Saccharomyces cerevisiae S288C: one gene and its partners. Changing the gene in region 2 together with the main gene of any one other region gives a genetic interaction. Each region holds a gene or a part of one and is shown on either strand. Other genes may lie near its edges.

The links.
Region 1: mutations in GND2 (region 2) and ARR3 together harm fitness more than expected from each alone (negative genetic interaction), as found in Saccharomyces cerevisiae (one large-scale study listed by BioGRID).
Region 3: mutations in GND2 (region 2) and ASP3-2 together harm fitness less than expected from each alone (positive genetic interaction), as found in Saccharomyces cerevisiae (one large-scale study listed by BioGRID).

Annotation. Positions count from the first base shown.
Region 1 is NC_001148.4:937,592-942,993, reverse strand, and holds ARR3 (Arr3p), read right to left. Parts: upstream 3,073-5,402; coding exon 1,858-3,072; downstream 1-1,857. Other genes in the region: ARR2 (Arr2p), read left to right, coding at 3,323-3,715; ARR1 (Arr1p), read left to right, coding at 3,962-4,846.
Region 2 is NC_001139.9:1,003,085-1,009,107, reverse strand, and holds GND2 (phosphogluconate dehydrogenase (decarboxylating) GND2), read right to left. Parts: upstream 4,485-6,023; coding exon 3,006-4,484; downstream 1-3,005. Other genes in the region: ssDNA endodeoxyribonuclease RAD2, read left to right, coding at 1-1,437; MTM1 (Mtm1p), read left to right, coding at 1,803-2,903; putative N,N-dimethylaniline monooxygenase COQ6, read left to right, coding at 5,146-6,023. UniProt on the Saccharomyces cerevisiae protein: Catalyzes the oxidative decarboxylation of 6-phosphogluconate to ribulose 5-phosphate and CO(2), with concomitant reduction of NADP to NADPH.
Region 3 is NC_001144.5:471,112-476,046, forward strand, and holds ASP3-2 (asparaginase ASP3-2), read right to left. Parts: upstream 2,947-4,935; coding exon 1,858-2,946; downstream 1-1,857. Other genes in the region: YLR156W (uncharacterized protein), read left to right, coding at 1,002-1,346; YLR156C-A (uncharacterized protein), read right to left, coding at 1,368-1,499; YLR157W-D (uncharacterized protein), read left to right, coding at 4,653-4,865.

The DNA.
Region 1 (5,402 bases), on a different chromosome or scaffold from region 2:
ACCAGGATTCTGTTCGTTGCTCAGCCGCTTCGTGGATATTCTCTTGGATACTTTAAACATGGACCTACGCTTAGCCTGCGCTTAGCCTACAACTTCTTCCGCTCTCGAAAAGACCAATATAATAAAAAGTTATAAATTACATTTCCTTATTAGGTATACGACCTCACGCTTCGAAGTAAAGGAGCCTACCACTCTATACCACCACTACCACCACCGCCACTTGCCACACTCACCTTCACTTCTACTGATATGTCATACGCACACGGATGCTACAGTATATACCATCTCAAACTTACCCTACTTTCATATTCCACACCATGGCCCCATTCTCACTAAATCAGTACTAGATGCACTCACATCATTATGCACGGCACTTGCCTCAGCGGTCTATACCCTGTGCCATTCACCCATAAAGCCCATGATTATCCACATTTTAATATCTACATCTCATTTTGCGGTTCCAAATATTGTATAACTGCACCATATACTAACCACTCAATTTATACACACTTATGTCAATATAACCACAAAATCACCACCAAAATCACCTAAACATAAAAATTAACCATTCATTAATGAGAAGATATAAACATACTAAATATTAACATAATTGAAATATCGTAAACATAACACCCTATTCATTAAATTGTCTATTACTTGTGCCATTTACCCATAACATTCATGATCATCCACATTTTAATTTTCTAAAATTGATCACAGAACCTCCATTATCATATCAATACTCTCAACTTCATGCTTTATAACGTTTTCATACAAATTAACCACTATAAGGTATCATAGCTATTTGCATTCTCATCACCTTTCAGTGAATTCCAATTTAATAGCAGAATATACTCGCGCAGCTGCTATGGTGCGTTTTTAATCTCTCCCCACCTTGGTATTCTATAATTATGCATACATGGTCTTGTGGTATCTTTGATATCGAATAGTTTATGCTTGCAATTTCAGCCTAATAATGGCGACATAAGACGTGTCCTCATGTCGCTATTCAAACGCAACTACAAGATCTTCTTACTCCCTATACTCATTCCCGGTGCCACTATATAACACCACTATGCTATACTATAATAGCAATACACATTAACGCAGATGCTATAATATCTTTACTTCATCTCACCAACTCAACTGATAATCATACAGACAGTACTATACAATACAGTCATTTACTAAAACGAATGCCGCTCCATGATATCCCAAACTTATACTGGCACCATTTTGAAACATTATATGTCACCTCTTCATCCTAATGACTTCAACTTCATGCATTATAAAATGGCAGCTACACGTACTTATGCGGGTACTACGACATAAGCTTATCTTGTCCTATTTCGTTACGTTAATTTTAATTAGACACTAGATGCACGAATTCCATTTTTATGCGAATGATCTATGAAGCCATTGTTGTACCATCACCATGTGCTATTCCATCGGGCTTACAATACTTGGGTTTAAAGCATTACTAATCTTGCAGGAAAATCTCAAAAATGACATACAATACGCAATAATAATTTTTCAGCGAGTTTCTAATTCAAAGACATTGTATTTAGAAGTGATGTACGTAACACAGTTTGCCACTTGAGTTCATTAGACTTTCAAAAATGCAATAGTAAGATTACGTCCCCTTCTTACTGAACTCCAAAACTGTGCGGAGTTTTTGAATGATGCGGGATGGCGTGAACAAACCCATTTTTTCATCCTAACCATCACTAAGATCAATCAGTTGTCCTTCAAAAAAAATTGTCAATTTTATCTGTTTTTAGGGTGAACTTGGATTAATATAGAGTTATAAGTGGTATTATTCATTGGTGCCCAAGTAATTTTTTGGTGAGTCAACAATTAATTTCTATTGTTCCATATATAATATGGTTTAAGGATCCTCGCGACTATTGCCAAAATCAATAAAATTGGAACTTCTAGCAACGGCCCAAATGTTGCAGCTATTGCTTGCTTGCTATTGTTACCATATAAGGAAATAGCAATTGCCAGGGATAGTTCAAAATTATTTGAAGCCATAGTGAAACATTGCGTCATCGTAATAGAAAAGCTAGCTTCACAAGACTTTCTTCCCCAGACCCTCTTTAAAAGTAGTTCTTGGTCACAGCTACATTCTCTTTGTGTATCACTCCTAGATATTGATAAGTACCTCATTAATGCGAAGGTCAAAAACCATGCAATAAAGAAGTAAAGCACCAATGGGACAAAGCACAATATTGCAGAACCAATTTCGTGGATAAATTGATAACCTCTACTAATAAAAATAACAAATAAAGTGTAATGAAATCCGATCATTGCCCATGGAGAAATAAATCTCAAAATGTATTTTTCATAATTACTTTTACCAGCTATGGTAAGACTTCCCAAACGTATGATAATGCCAATTCCCAGTGGTATGCCGAGAAAAACTCCGACAGACTTTGCAACCTCTTCGAATAATACCCTATTTGAAGTATTCAGGTGGTCATGAGAAATAACATAACAGTAAAATATCTGCAATGGTGCATATAATACCATCTGTAAAAGCGAGTTTGTAATAACAAGCACGACGCAGAGATCATTGTCTCCTCCAGCAATCTGATTCCAAATTAGCACCATGGCAATGCATCTAGCTACTCCGATCATAATAATGCCTTGACGGTATTCCTTATAATCGAATAGCGCCATCCACGCCAATGCTGTCATCAACAAAGGACCGATGACCCAATTCAAAAATAACGAGAGGGCTAGTTGCTTCCTTATATAGCTCCTGTAGAAGTACTTGTGAATAGACTCCCAGGAAACTTTGCAGATCGGGGGAATCATCATTACAATCATACCAACAGTCAAAGGAATGGACACTCCCATTAGATTGGGATGACCTTCAGCGTCAAAAGTGTGACGGGAAGAAGGCACATAGACAGAAATTATTACTGCAATGATTATGGAGAGAATTATAGTAAATGGCAACATCAAGTCAAGCCATGACAATGACTTGATCGTAGTCAGTATATCGGTGCGATTCACCATATTAACCTTAGAAGGTACCGAATTTTCACTTTTTTGATCTTCTGACATTATTCTACTAACCTGATGATTTGTTGGTTGGGTTCTCTTGAATTACAACGAGAGCATTCATTTATATTCTTTTCCGTTTACATTATAATTATGTAAGGAGCGTTGCCGCTAAAGTTGATTATTAATCAAACAAAAAGATAATTAAGAGCATTCAAAATTTGATTTTAAATCAACACTTTTGAAAAGTCGGTATAAAAACTAATGTATAACAAACTAATATTGAGGAAAACTTGACAATCCAGCAAGCGTAATGGTAAGTTTCATAACGTCTAGGCAACTCAAGGGCCTAATTGAAAATCAGAGGAAGGATTTTCAAGTTGTTGATCTTCGAAGAGAAGATTTTGCACGTGATCATATTACAAACGCTTGGCATGTTCCAGTAACAGCACAGATTACAGAGAAGCAACTGAATCAATTAATTAAAGGTTTATCCGATACTTTCTCAAGTTCTCAATTCGTCAAAGTGATATTTCATTGTACTGGGTCCAAGAATAGGGGACCAAAAGTAGCTGCTAAATTCGAAACCTACTTACAAGAAGAAGATATTACAAGTAAGTTTGAGAGTTGCATCCTCGTTGGAGGTTTTTACGCTTGGGAGACCCATTGTAGAGAGAGTAACCTTAAATTGATTGTTAGTGGTTGAGCTCCTCAAGCTTTATTGTTCCAGCATTAATGTAAAAGTCTTTTCAATATTTTATGTACGGCAAAACTTTTTAATTCCATTTTTTTTTTTTTTTTCGTTTCTTTTCTTATTAAATTAAATATAATTATAATTATAATATTCCTATCTTTACAAAATCATATTAGTATATAATTCTAGCATGCGGATGGTCTTTAAGGAGCGGCCGTTGAAAAAACATGTCAAAACGGAAGATAAGTGACCAAGATAATGGCAAAACCGCGTGGAAGAAAAGGCGGCAGGAAGCCTTCACTTACTCCACCTAAAAATAAGAGAGCTGCGCAACTTAGAGCATCCCAAAACGCATTTAGAAAACGAAAGTTGGAAAGATTAGAAGAACTAGAGAAGAAAGAAGCTCAGCTAACGGTAACAAATGATCAAATTCACATATTAAAGAAGGAAAATGAACTTCTCCATTTTATGTTGAGGAGTCTTTTGACTGAGAGGAACATGCCTTCTGATGAACGGAACATTAGTAAGGCCTGTTGTGAAGAAAAACCGCCCACATGTAACACTCTCGATGGTAGTGTGGTTCTTTCCTCCACATATAATTCCCTTGAAATACAACAATGCTACGTATTTTTCAAGCAACTGCTCTCAGTGTGTGTTGGAAAGAATTGTACAGTGCCGTCACCGTTGAATTCCTTTGATCGGTCCTTCTATCCCATAGGCTGTACGAATCTCTCAAATGACATACCAGGCTATTCTTTTCTAAATGATGCAATGAGTGAGATTCATACGTTTGGTGACTTTAATGGGGAACTTGATAGTACCTTTTTGGAGTTTAGTGGGACTGAAATAAAGGAGCCAAATAATTTCATTACTGAAAACACTAATGCAATAGAAACAGCGGCAGCGAGCATGGTGATTAGGCAGGGTTTCCATCCAAGACAGTATTATACAGTGGATGCTTTTGGAGGGGACGTCCTATTAAGTGCGATGGATATTTGGAGTTTTATGAAAGTGCATCCAAAGGTTAACACATTTGACCTTGAAATTTTGGGAACAGAACTTAAGAAAAGTGCTACGTGTTCTAATTTTGATATTTTAATTAGCCTCAAGCATTTCATTAAGGTCTTTTCGTCAAAATTATAATATTCTTCCTGTAAGCACAGCGCAACATTGTCTTTCTTATTGTTAATATATAAGTTAAAAGCCGAATTTTTCATTTATTTATATAGATGGCGTGAAGATTATTACGGTCAGATACCTTCGCCTATTTATGTACTTGCATGCGTTTAGATTTTATTGGAAAAAGTATTAATTTATCGTCTATCGACTAGTATTCACGTTACTAGTATATTCTGTATAGTTAATGATAGAGCCTTTATTTAAAATGGAAGTCCAATAACTATTTCAAAATCAAATTATATGTCAAAGATGTTCAACAAATTGGGAAGGCAAGAGGCGAGCACTAGGCCTGATACCCTTCTTAATGCCTTGACATACACGTGTCTATTTCTTTTTTCTTGTCGAGGTATTGAGGTATTGACCAATGCTGAATGCTTGATAATGTAATTAGGGATCGCGTACGACAAGTTTCAGCAATTGTTAGGGTGTTATTTTCATTGTTCCCGATTATGAGCACAATATGGCGGTCTTGTACTAGGATAACTTGGGCGTATGTTTCACTATACTAGAACCATGATTT
Region 2 (6,023 bases):
CCACAGTTTGATTTTAACAATGAAAATTCCCTGCTTTTTCAAAAGAATACCGAGAGTAATGTGTCCCAAGAAGCCACGAAGGAAAAGTCTCCAATTCCTGAAATGCCGAGCTGGTTTTCTTCAACTGCTTCCCAGCAGTTGTATAATCCCTATAACACAACAAATTTCGTGGAAGATAAAAACGTAAGAAATGAACAAGAAAGTGGAGCAGAAACTACCAATAAAGGGAGTAGCTATGAACTCTTGACAGGCTTAAATGCTACGGAAATATTAGAAAGAGAAAGCGAGAAAGAGAGCTCCAATGATGAAAACAAGGACGATGACTTAGAAGTTTTATCAGAAGAACTATTTGAGGACGTTCCCACTAAATCTCAGATTTCAAAAGAAGCAGAGGATAACGATAGTAGAAAAGTCGAATCTATAAATAAGGAGCATAGAAAGCCTCTTATATTCGACTATGACTTCTCCGAAGATGAAGAAGATAACATAGTAGAAAATATGATAAAGGAACAAGAAGAGTTTGATACATTTAAAAACACGACTTTGTCCACTTCTGCTGAAAGAAACGTTGCCGAGAACGCTTTTGTGGAGGATGAATTATTCGAACAACAGATGAAGGATAAAAGAGATTCGGATGAGGTAACTATGGATATGATCAAAGAAGTGCAAGAATTACTATCGAGGTTTGGAATCCCCTATATCACTGCGCCTATGGAAGCTGAAGCACAGTGTGCGGAATTGTTACAACTAAACCTTGTCGATGGTATAATTACCGATGACAGTGATGTTTTCCTATTTGGAGGTACAAAGATCTACAAAAATATGTTCCACGAAAAGAACTATGTTGAATTTTATGATGCGGAATCTATTTTAAAATTATTGGGCTTGGATAGAAAGAATATGATTGAGTTGGCACAGCTTTTAGGGAGCGATTACACGAATGGATTGAAGGGTATGGGTCCCGTTTCAAGCATTGAAGTGATTGCAGAATTTGGAAACCTAAAAAATTTTAAAGACTGGTATAATAATGGGCAGTTTGATAAACGTAAGCAAGAAACGGAAAATAAATTTGAAAAAGACCTGAGAAAAAAACTGGTAAATAACGAAATTATCTTAGATGATGATTTTCCTAGCGTCATGGTTTATGATGCGTATATGAGACCAGAAGTCGATCACGATACCACGCCGTTTGTTTGGGGGGTACCAGATCTCGATATGCTTCGTTCATTCATGAAGACTCAACTAGGTTGGCCACACGAAAAGTCTGATGAAATTCTCATTCCCTTAATTAGAGATGTTAATAAACGCAAAAAGAAGGGGAAGCAAAAAAGGATTAATGAATTTTTTCCAAGGGAGTACATATCTGGTGATAAGAAGCTCAATACAAGTAAGAGAATTTCAACCGCAACAGGTAAACTAAAGAAAAGAAAGATGTAATAACATATACTTATGTATGATTTACTATTTATAAACATTACCTTTGTTTCTGCATGTTAACAAAGTCAACCGATCCAGGAATAGTAGATATATACGGTCCTTTTGGTATCTTTGCGTCGGTGAGGTATGACACTTTTGGCACCCACCCAAACACGCGCAACGTTATTTTTCGCCATCTTGAAGATCTCAGAATAGCAATTAGAGAATAAGACACATTCTGTCATTTTTGCATATTTCCGGGAAGATCACTCCTCTGGAATTGGGGCACACTACCCTCATATTTGTGCCAGTTCACTTCACAGGAATCGTATGAGCCAAAGCCATAAAGTATCGTAGGAAAGGAAACGAGGTGTTGATAATACGATATGAGTGATCGCAATACAAGTAACAGCCTGACCTTAAAAGAACGAATGTTAAGTGCCGGTGCTGGATCAGTACTCACTTCTTTGATTTTGACACCGATGGATGTAGTGAGAATACGGCTGCAACAGCAGCAGATGATTCCTGACTGTTCATGTGATGGGGCTGCCGAAGTGCCCAACGCCGTTAGCTCAGGCTCCAAAATGAAGACATTCACCAACGTCGGAGGACAGAACTTGAACAACGCAAAAATATTTTGGGAGAGTGCTTGTTTTCAAGAACTGCACTGTAAAAATTCATCGTTGAAGTTCAACGGTACTTTAGAAGCATTCACGAAAATTGCCAGCGTCGAAGGTATTACAAGTTTGTGGAGGGGTATTTCTTTGACCCTATTAATGGCTATTCCTGCCAACATGGTTTATTTTAGTGGTTATGAATATATAAGAGACGTTTCTCCTATAGCCTCGACGTACCCAACATTAAACCCCCTCTTTTGTGGTGCAATTGCGAGGGTATTTGCAGCAACAAGTATTGCACCTTTAGAATTGGTTAAAACTAAACTGCAAAGTATACCGAGATCATCAAAGTCCACAAAGACATGGATGATGGTTAAAGATTTATTAAACGAAACGAGGCAGGAAATGAAAATGGTGGGTCCTTCTCGGGCCCTCTTCAAAGGTTTGGAGATCACTCTGTGGAGAGACGTTCCGTTTAGTGCAATATATTGGAGTTCCTATGAACTTTGCAAGGAAAGACTATGGCTAGATTCTACTCGATTTGCATCTAAGGACGCAAACTGGGTCCATTTTATAAACAGTTTTGCCAGTGGTTGCATAAGTGGGATGATAGCTGCTATATGCACACACCCTTTTGATGTCGGTAAGACGAGATGGCAAATATCCATGATGAACAATAGCGATCCGAAAGGCGGCAATAGGTCTAGAAACATGTTCAAGTTCTTAGAGACTATATGGCGTACAGAAGGTCTTGCGGCCCTCTACACGGGCCTGGCAGCCAGAGTAATTAAGATACGCCCAAGTTGCGCCATCATGATATCTAGTTATGAGATCTCCAAAAAAGTATTTGGAAACAAATTGCATCAGTGAATAAAGGCTTGTAAATATAGATATATAGTAAACGAAAAGAAGCATATACGTATAATTATTTGTGGGAACGGCTCTAGAAAAGAAAACTTTGCCTTTAACTCCTTAAGCTTGGTAGGTTGAGGAAGATATATTACCTCCGTGCCCAGTCCAATTGATATGAATATCCTTGTCTACTGGCAAATGGGCAGAAGCACATTCAGGTAAAATTCTAAATGTATGAGCGCCAAAATAATCACGTTGCGCTTGTAACAAGTTTGCTGGTAGCCTCTCAGATCTATAGCCGTCGTAAAACGCTAAAGCAGTAGAGAAAGCTGGAGTTGGAATACCGTAAGTAGCAGCAAGGGCAATAGTTCTTCTCCAACCGGATTGGGCCTTAGTAACTGCAGAAGCGAAGAACTCGTTGAATAATAAATTTTCCAAATCTGGATCGTCCCTATAAGCCTTCGTAATCTCAGCTAAGAACACAGATCTGATTATACAGCCACCTCTCCACATTAGAGCAATAGCTGGGTTGTTTAATTTCCAGCCGTATGATCTGGCAGCTTCGCGGATCAGCATGAAACCTTGAGCATATGAAATAATCTTTGAAGCGTATAATGCTTGTTCCAAATCATACACAAATTGTTCTCTATCATGTATTGCATCCTTTGGTACTGTTGGTCCTGCCAGAAGTTTCGAAGCTCTTTTACGTTCGTCCTTTATGGCTGACAAACAACGAGCGAAAACAGCCTCCCCAATTAAAGTGACTGGCATTCCTAAATCCAAGGCGTTGATTGCAGTCCATTTACCAGTACCCTTTTGACCGGCAGTATCCATAATTTTTTCCACCAATGGCTTACCGTCGACGTCATCGAATTTTAAAATGTCCCTCGTGATTTCAATCAAGAAAGAATCCAAAACTCCAGTGTTCCACTTGTCAAATACTTCACTGATCTCTTTATCCGTAAACCGGCCAATTCGTTTCATGATATCGTAAGCCTCGCAAATCAACTGCATATCACCGTACTCGATACCGTTGTGTACCATCTTCACATAGTGACCAGAACCGGCAGGCCCCACCCATTCGCAGCATGGCTCACCGTTTGATTTGGCGGCAATAGATTGAAAGATGTTCTTGATGTGCGGCCATGCTTCTGCTGACCCACCAGGCATTAAAGATGGACCAAAACGTGCACCATCTTCACCGCCTGAGACACCAGAGCCCACAAAAAGAATTCCTTGCTTTGTTAGCTCTTCGTAGCGTCTGTTAGTGTCCGGGAAATGTGAGTTACCACCGTCGATAATAATGTCGCCTTTATCAAGATGTGGTACAAGTTCCTTTATTAAAGTGTCGACCGGAGCACCGGCTTTGATTAAAAGCATAATCTTTCTAGGTTTCTTTAGTTTCGCAACCAAGTCCTCAATTGAAGTTGCACCAATTATTGATTTTCCTTTTGCCTCATTAGCTAGAAACCTATCTACCTTTGATTGCGTCCTATTATAAGCAACCACGGTAAATCCGTGATCCGCTGCGTTTAAGATCAAATTTTGACCCATCACGGCTAAACCAACTAAGCCTAAATCACCTACTGCCTTTGACATTCTGTTCCTCGTGTTTTTTTAATTGTAGTTGCGTAACTACACTTATCCGGCAATATGCTCACCTGCACCTACGAATTCTTCAAACGTTGTCTCCATATATATATATATATATATATTTGAGCTAACTCCTAGCAGTGATCTAAAATTTAAAATGAAAATAGGGGTGAAGATAACCTCCGTGGGCACTCGTGGTTAAAGAGCCATTTTTCGGGGTTATTAGTTAATAAACTCCTAGAGGAAACGTTCAATTTCTGACGTCTCTACTTTTTCATCGAGAGCGGTGCCAAAAAAATTAGGGGCGCCTCAATTATTAATACTGACAAATAAAAAGGAAACTGCCACCTGTCAGAATTGAACTAACGACCTTTGCATTACAAGTGCAACGCTCTACCACTAAGCTAAGGAGGCAAACCCTTGAAGTTTCAAGAAAAAGTGATGTTGTTTTATCGAACAAGATTTATGCTGCTATTGTTTCTCCTTTCTTTTTTTCCCTTCTTCTTGCAGAAGGAACACGCAGATCTTAAACTGTTTCTGAGAAATATCCCTTCTGGAATTGTGATACGACATTAAAAAGGAATAAATATAATTGTGGCGATAATTTTCTTCATTCAGTAACTCAAATTGGTCTTTCAGTGAACCTTGTATCGATTGACACAGAGGCATGTTCTTTTCAAAAGTTATGCTTACTCGGCGTATTTTGGTGAGGGGTTTGGCAACAGCCAAATCTTCAGCTCCAAAGTTAACAGATGTATTAATCGTAGGTGGGGGTCCTGCAGGTTTGACTTTAGCTGCATCGATTAAGAATTCTCCGCAATTAAAAGATCTAAAGACAACTTTAGTCGATATGGTGGACTTAAAAGATAAATTATCGGACTTTTATAATTCACCCCCAGATTATTTTACGAACAGGATTGTCAGTGTTACGCCTAGATCTATTCATTTTCTTGAGAATAACGCTGGGGCAACTTTGATGCATGACAGGATTCAAAGTTATGACGGACTCTATGTCACGGACGGTTGTTCTAAGGCTACTTTGGATCTGGCAAGGGACTCCATGCTTTGTATGATTGAAATTATAAATATACAGGCCTCCTTATACAACAGAATTTCTCAGTACGATTCAAAGAAGGACTCCATTGATATTATTGATAATACAAAAGTTGTCAATATTAAACACAGCGACCCTAATGATCCATTGTCCTGGCCTTTAGTCACTCTTTCCAATGGTGAAGTATACAAGACGAGATTGCTAGTGGGTGCAGACGGGTTCAATTCTCCTACCAGAAGATTTTCCCAGATCCCATCTAGGGGCTGGATGTATAATGCCTATGGTGTTGTGGCCAGCATGAAGTTAGAGTATCCTCCCTTTAAACTAAGGGGCTGGCAGAGGTTCTTACCCACTGGTCCAATTGCACACTTACCCATGCCTGAAAATAATGCTACTTTAGTCTGGAGTTCATCTGAACGTTTATCGAGGCTTTTGTTGTCATTACCTCCAGAATCATTCACTGCACTTATCAATGCTGCTTTTGTCTTGGA
Region 3 (4,935 bases), on a different chromosome or scaffold from region 2:
CGGAGTCTTTGCTTTCAGTCTAACATGGTCTAATTTCTTCGAAAAGCTTCATTTAATTGTTAGACTGTGGTTTTACAAGGAAAAAACCAGTGCTATACTGAAGCGATACCCAGAACTAATTACCTTGTGTGACGATTCGGCTCAGCGAAACGGACATGGTAAAATTGGGAATTTGAAAGCAGGCAGCAGCCTTGTACAGCGACATGACGATAGGTTTAGAATCCCCATCACGTACGAGTTGAAGAATTCTACGAAGGCTCTATGCGTTATTCCTCTATCGGTATAAAGTGTAGCGTTGTAGGGGGGATATTGGTGGTTTAGTTGAATTTGCGCAACGAAATTATAGAACTCATAAAAGTTCAATTCAATACTTGAAACCCTTAACGTTGGTTCGACCATCAATTGTTTGGACATAATAGTTTTATTCTGCGGCCGATTTCAAAATTTAGTAAATCAAATGTTGAAGCATCACCAGTAGGATGACCACTCCCATGACAAAACTCCGTCCCAAAGATAGCTTGATCATCCTAAGCGGGTCGCATTTTACTATCCCCAGTTCCGAAGAATAACAAGGCTCAATGCATATGCTGTTTATCGTGCTCACAAGGCGGTATGACGTTTTTAGCAATGTAATTATATTAAAAAGATCTTCAGTCACTATGAGTGGTTGATTGCCCCATAGAGAGCTATAAGCCGACGTGAAAGCTGCTGGTTCCAGCTTGGCTCATGTCGTCACCAGTCACTAGTCACTTGGTCGCATTCATTGCTACTCATCTGCGAGTGAGCATATTTGAGATCTGACTTGCCAAGGGATTAGAATCACGTAAGACTCTTGATCCTTAGAAGATATTTCTGACAAAGAACCACCTAAGCCATGCAAGTTTTTTTTTTCATTTGGTGGCGAAACAAAGGTGATGAAAGTTTCTTCTTGTACAAACGCCAATCCCGATAGGTGAGACAATTCTTGAAGTAATGGACCTCTGAGTAAGCATATCAGTCGAATGAAGTTCCAATATGCGTTGGCCAAGGAACAGCTAGGCAGCAACTCGCGCAGTGGCGTCAAAAAACTAATAAGTAAACACCACTGGCTTCCGGAATACTATTTCTCTGATCTCTCATTTTCTGTTGTACAGCAGTGGGACAGTAGAGCCATTGAAAAAACTACAATCATATCTTGTATGCGGCCCGCAAACCAAGAGATTTATCCTTTGAGACATTGTGAGACCCTCCGTTCGCAACCGTGCTCTCTGTTTTCATCACTATATGCACGCTCTTTCCAAAGCTCCTGCACTTTGCACGTGGCGGAGCCATCGCCCGGCTTCCATATGTACGGCTGCCACACCTAACTATTTCGGTTGCGGCCATATCTACCAGAAAGCACCGTTTCCCGTCCGATCAACTGTAGTTAAGCTGGTAAGAGCCTGACCGAGTAGTGTAGTGGGTGACCATACGCGAAACTCAGGTGCTGCAGTTGTTTTTTTTTTCGCGCACGAATACATCACGCAGCCTCGCCTTGACACTGCTCAAGGGATAAGGGGAAGGAGCTGAGATAGAACTGAGTTGGAGCGTTGCAGCGGCACGAGCAGTGAAAAGAGCGAAGAGAAGAGAAGCAGATAAAAGACCAAAGTAGCGATGATACTTCGATGTTTGGAGCGATTTTTCCTATGTGAATATTAGAAATCATATGTTTTGTATCAGCTGAACAGTGAATGATGTGCTCAATACTCAAATTCATCTTTTTGTTTGCTAAAAATAGCTTAACTGGCACATCATGAAAAGGATGTAGAAATTATAGAGTATATTTACTACTAAGAACTATATAAAAACACAGTGTGATGAAAAGTCACTGATCAGGCTTTAACCACCGTAGACGCCAGAAAAAACAGACCTAATCTGATCCATGCCGTAGCCGGAGTACAAACATAATTGTAGCAAAATACGCGATTTTTGAGGGTTTAGGTAGCCAGATCCAATGGCGTACTCTGGGGCATCATCTGGAGGAACTGTACCATCTGCTGTTCTTCTGCTGTGAACAATTGGTATACCATACTCTTCATAAAGTTGTTCGTTTACAATACTACCCGTAGCAGTCCAGGAACCAGCTCCAGAACCCGCCAACACGATACCTTTTGCGCCCAGGTCCTTGACGGCCTTTACTATTAGCTCAGGATTCAAGCCTTGATAGGAGTACAGAATAATGACTTCTGGAATTTCCGAAGGGTCTGTGAGGTTGGAAATGTCAAAAAATTGCCATCCATTTGGCTTGACTGGTGGGTAGTAAAACTCCACGTCATCATTTGAAAAGTAACCTAAATATCCCTGTTCATCCGCTCTGAATGTATCTAAAGAGTTGGCATTCATTTTCGTTGTCCAAAACCCAGAGGCAATACGATCGTTTAGAGTGATCATCGTGCCACGACCCAGTGATTTCTCAGAAGCAGCAATAGACACTGCTTGATATAAATTCATTGGGCCATCAGCAGACGTGGCAGTGGCTGGACGCATAGCGCCTGCGATACATACTGGCTTCTCTGAATTTATGGTCAAATCTAAGAAGAAAGCTGTCTCCTCCATAGTGTCGGTCCCATGAGTGACAACCGCACCAGCGTAGTCATCAGAGGCTAGTGCCTCGGAGATACCGTGATACAATGGGATCAGATGCGTATAGTTTAAAGAATTTGAACCAACGTTAGACACTTGAAGATAGTCCAGATTTGCCTTCTCAGCTAAAGATGGGACGGCTTCTATTAAATCATTTACGGTTAATCCCACGCTATAACCCGCCGTTGTTGCACTTGTCGAACCCTTGGAAGCGATAGTACCGCCGGTACCAAAAATTTTGATTGATGGCAAAGAAGAATTCTTCTCTTCACGAATTTTTAGTAGTGGAGCACCACTGGACATTGCGACAAAGAGAGAAAGTAAAAGGGTATTTAAAGATCTCATAGTTGGAGGTTGGTGAGTACCAGATTGCTTACAAAAGAATAGCGAGCCAACATTTGCTCTGCCTCAGGCCTCTTGGTGCTGCTTGAAGACTCATCTTATATGGCTTTTGTATGTCATGATTTGTTCTTGTACATTATGTGTTGATATTAAACAAATTGATTTTTTTTTTTTTGCGATAGCAAGCAGATAATGAAAGAGACAAGGACTTGGAACATCCGATAAGACTGCGCCGATATCGATCTTACAGTCCTTCCCTTGTGTCATGACTTTCGGAAAAGCATCCTCGTCGACTGGTAGTTTGCTGTCTGTCACGTGCTGAAGGGTCTGATACATTTTTTTAAAGATAAGAGACGGGGTTTACCTTCGGAGGACTAAGCGAGATCTCCAAGTAAAGATCTCGCTTATCAAGAAAGCAGCCAAGTGTGGAACGTCCTTTTTTTTGGTTTCAAAAAGATATTCAACAGTTTACACTGCAGCTTTAATTGCCTCAAAAGGATATCATGAGGTGATCTAGGGTCAGAAGGGAAAGATTACAGCATCTTGAGTTGAATCACATCTGCAAAAGGTGGTATTATTGACGTTGCTCTTCCTTAATGGAAACTCATGGGGTTTGGAAAGGAGGTGCGGTAATCTATTTTTTTCGAACACAAAACCTAACCTTGAAAAGAAACTGTCCAATTTCATTGAACTTACCTCAGAACGGGCCGGAGTCTTTGCTTTCAGTCTAACATGGTCTAATTTCTTCGAAAAGCTTCATTTAATTGTTAGACTGTGGTTTTACAAGGAAAAAACCAGTGCTATACTGAAGCGATACCCAGAACTAATTACCTTGTGTGACGATTCGGCTCAGCGAAACGGACATGGTAAAATTGGGAATTTGAAAGCAGGCAGCAGCCTTGTACAGCGACATGACGATAGGTTTAGAATCCCCATCACGTACGAGTTGAAGAATTCTACGAAGGCTCTATGCGTTATTCCTCTATCGGTATAAAGTGTAGCGTTGTAGGGGGGATATTGGTGGTTTAGTTGAATTTGCGCAACGAAATTATAGAACTCATAAAAGTTCAATTCAATACTTGAAACCCTTAACGTTGGTTCGACCATCAATTGTTTGGACATAATAGTTTTATTCTGCGGCCGATTTCAAAATTTAGTAAATCAAATGTTGAAGCATCACCAGTAGGATGACCACTCCCATGACAAAACTCCGTCCCAAAGATAGCTTGATCATCCTAAGCGGGTCGCATTTTACTATCCCCAGTTCCGAAGAATAACAAGGCTCAATGCATATGCTGTTTATCGTGCTCACAAGGCGGTATGACGTTTTTAGCAATGTAATTATATTAAAAAGATCTTCAGTCACTATGAGTGGTTGATTGCCCCATAGAGAGCTATAAGCCGACGTGAAAGCTGCTGGTTCCAGCTTGGCTCATGTCGTCACCAGTCACTAGTCACTTGGTCGCATTCATTGCTACTCATCTGCGAGTGAGCATATTTGAGATCTGACTTGCCAAGGGATTAGAATCACGTAAGACTCTTGATCCTTAGAAGATATTTCTGACAAAGAACCACCTAAGCCATGCAAGTTTTTTTTTTCATTTGGTGGCGAAACAAAGGTGATGAAAGTTTCTTCTTGTACAAACGCCAAGCCCGATAGGTGAGACAATTCTTGAAGTAATGGACCTCTGAGTAAGCATATCAGTCGAATGAAGTTCCAATATGCGTTGGCCAAGGAACAGCTAGGCAGCAACTCGCGCAGTGGCGTCAAAAAACTAATAAGTAAACACCACTGGCTTCCGGAATACTATTTCTCTGATCTCTCATTTTCTGTTGTACAGCAGTGGGACAGTAGAGCCATTGAAAAAACTACAATCATATCTTGTATGCGGCCCGCAAACCAAGAGATTTATCCTTTGTGAGAAATGGGTGAATGTTGAGATAATTGTTGGGATTCCATTGTTGATAAAGGCTATAATATTAGGTATACAG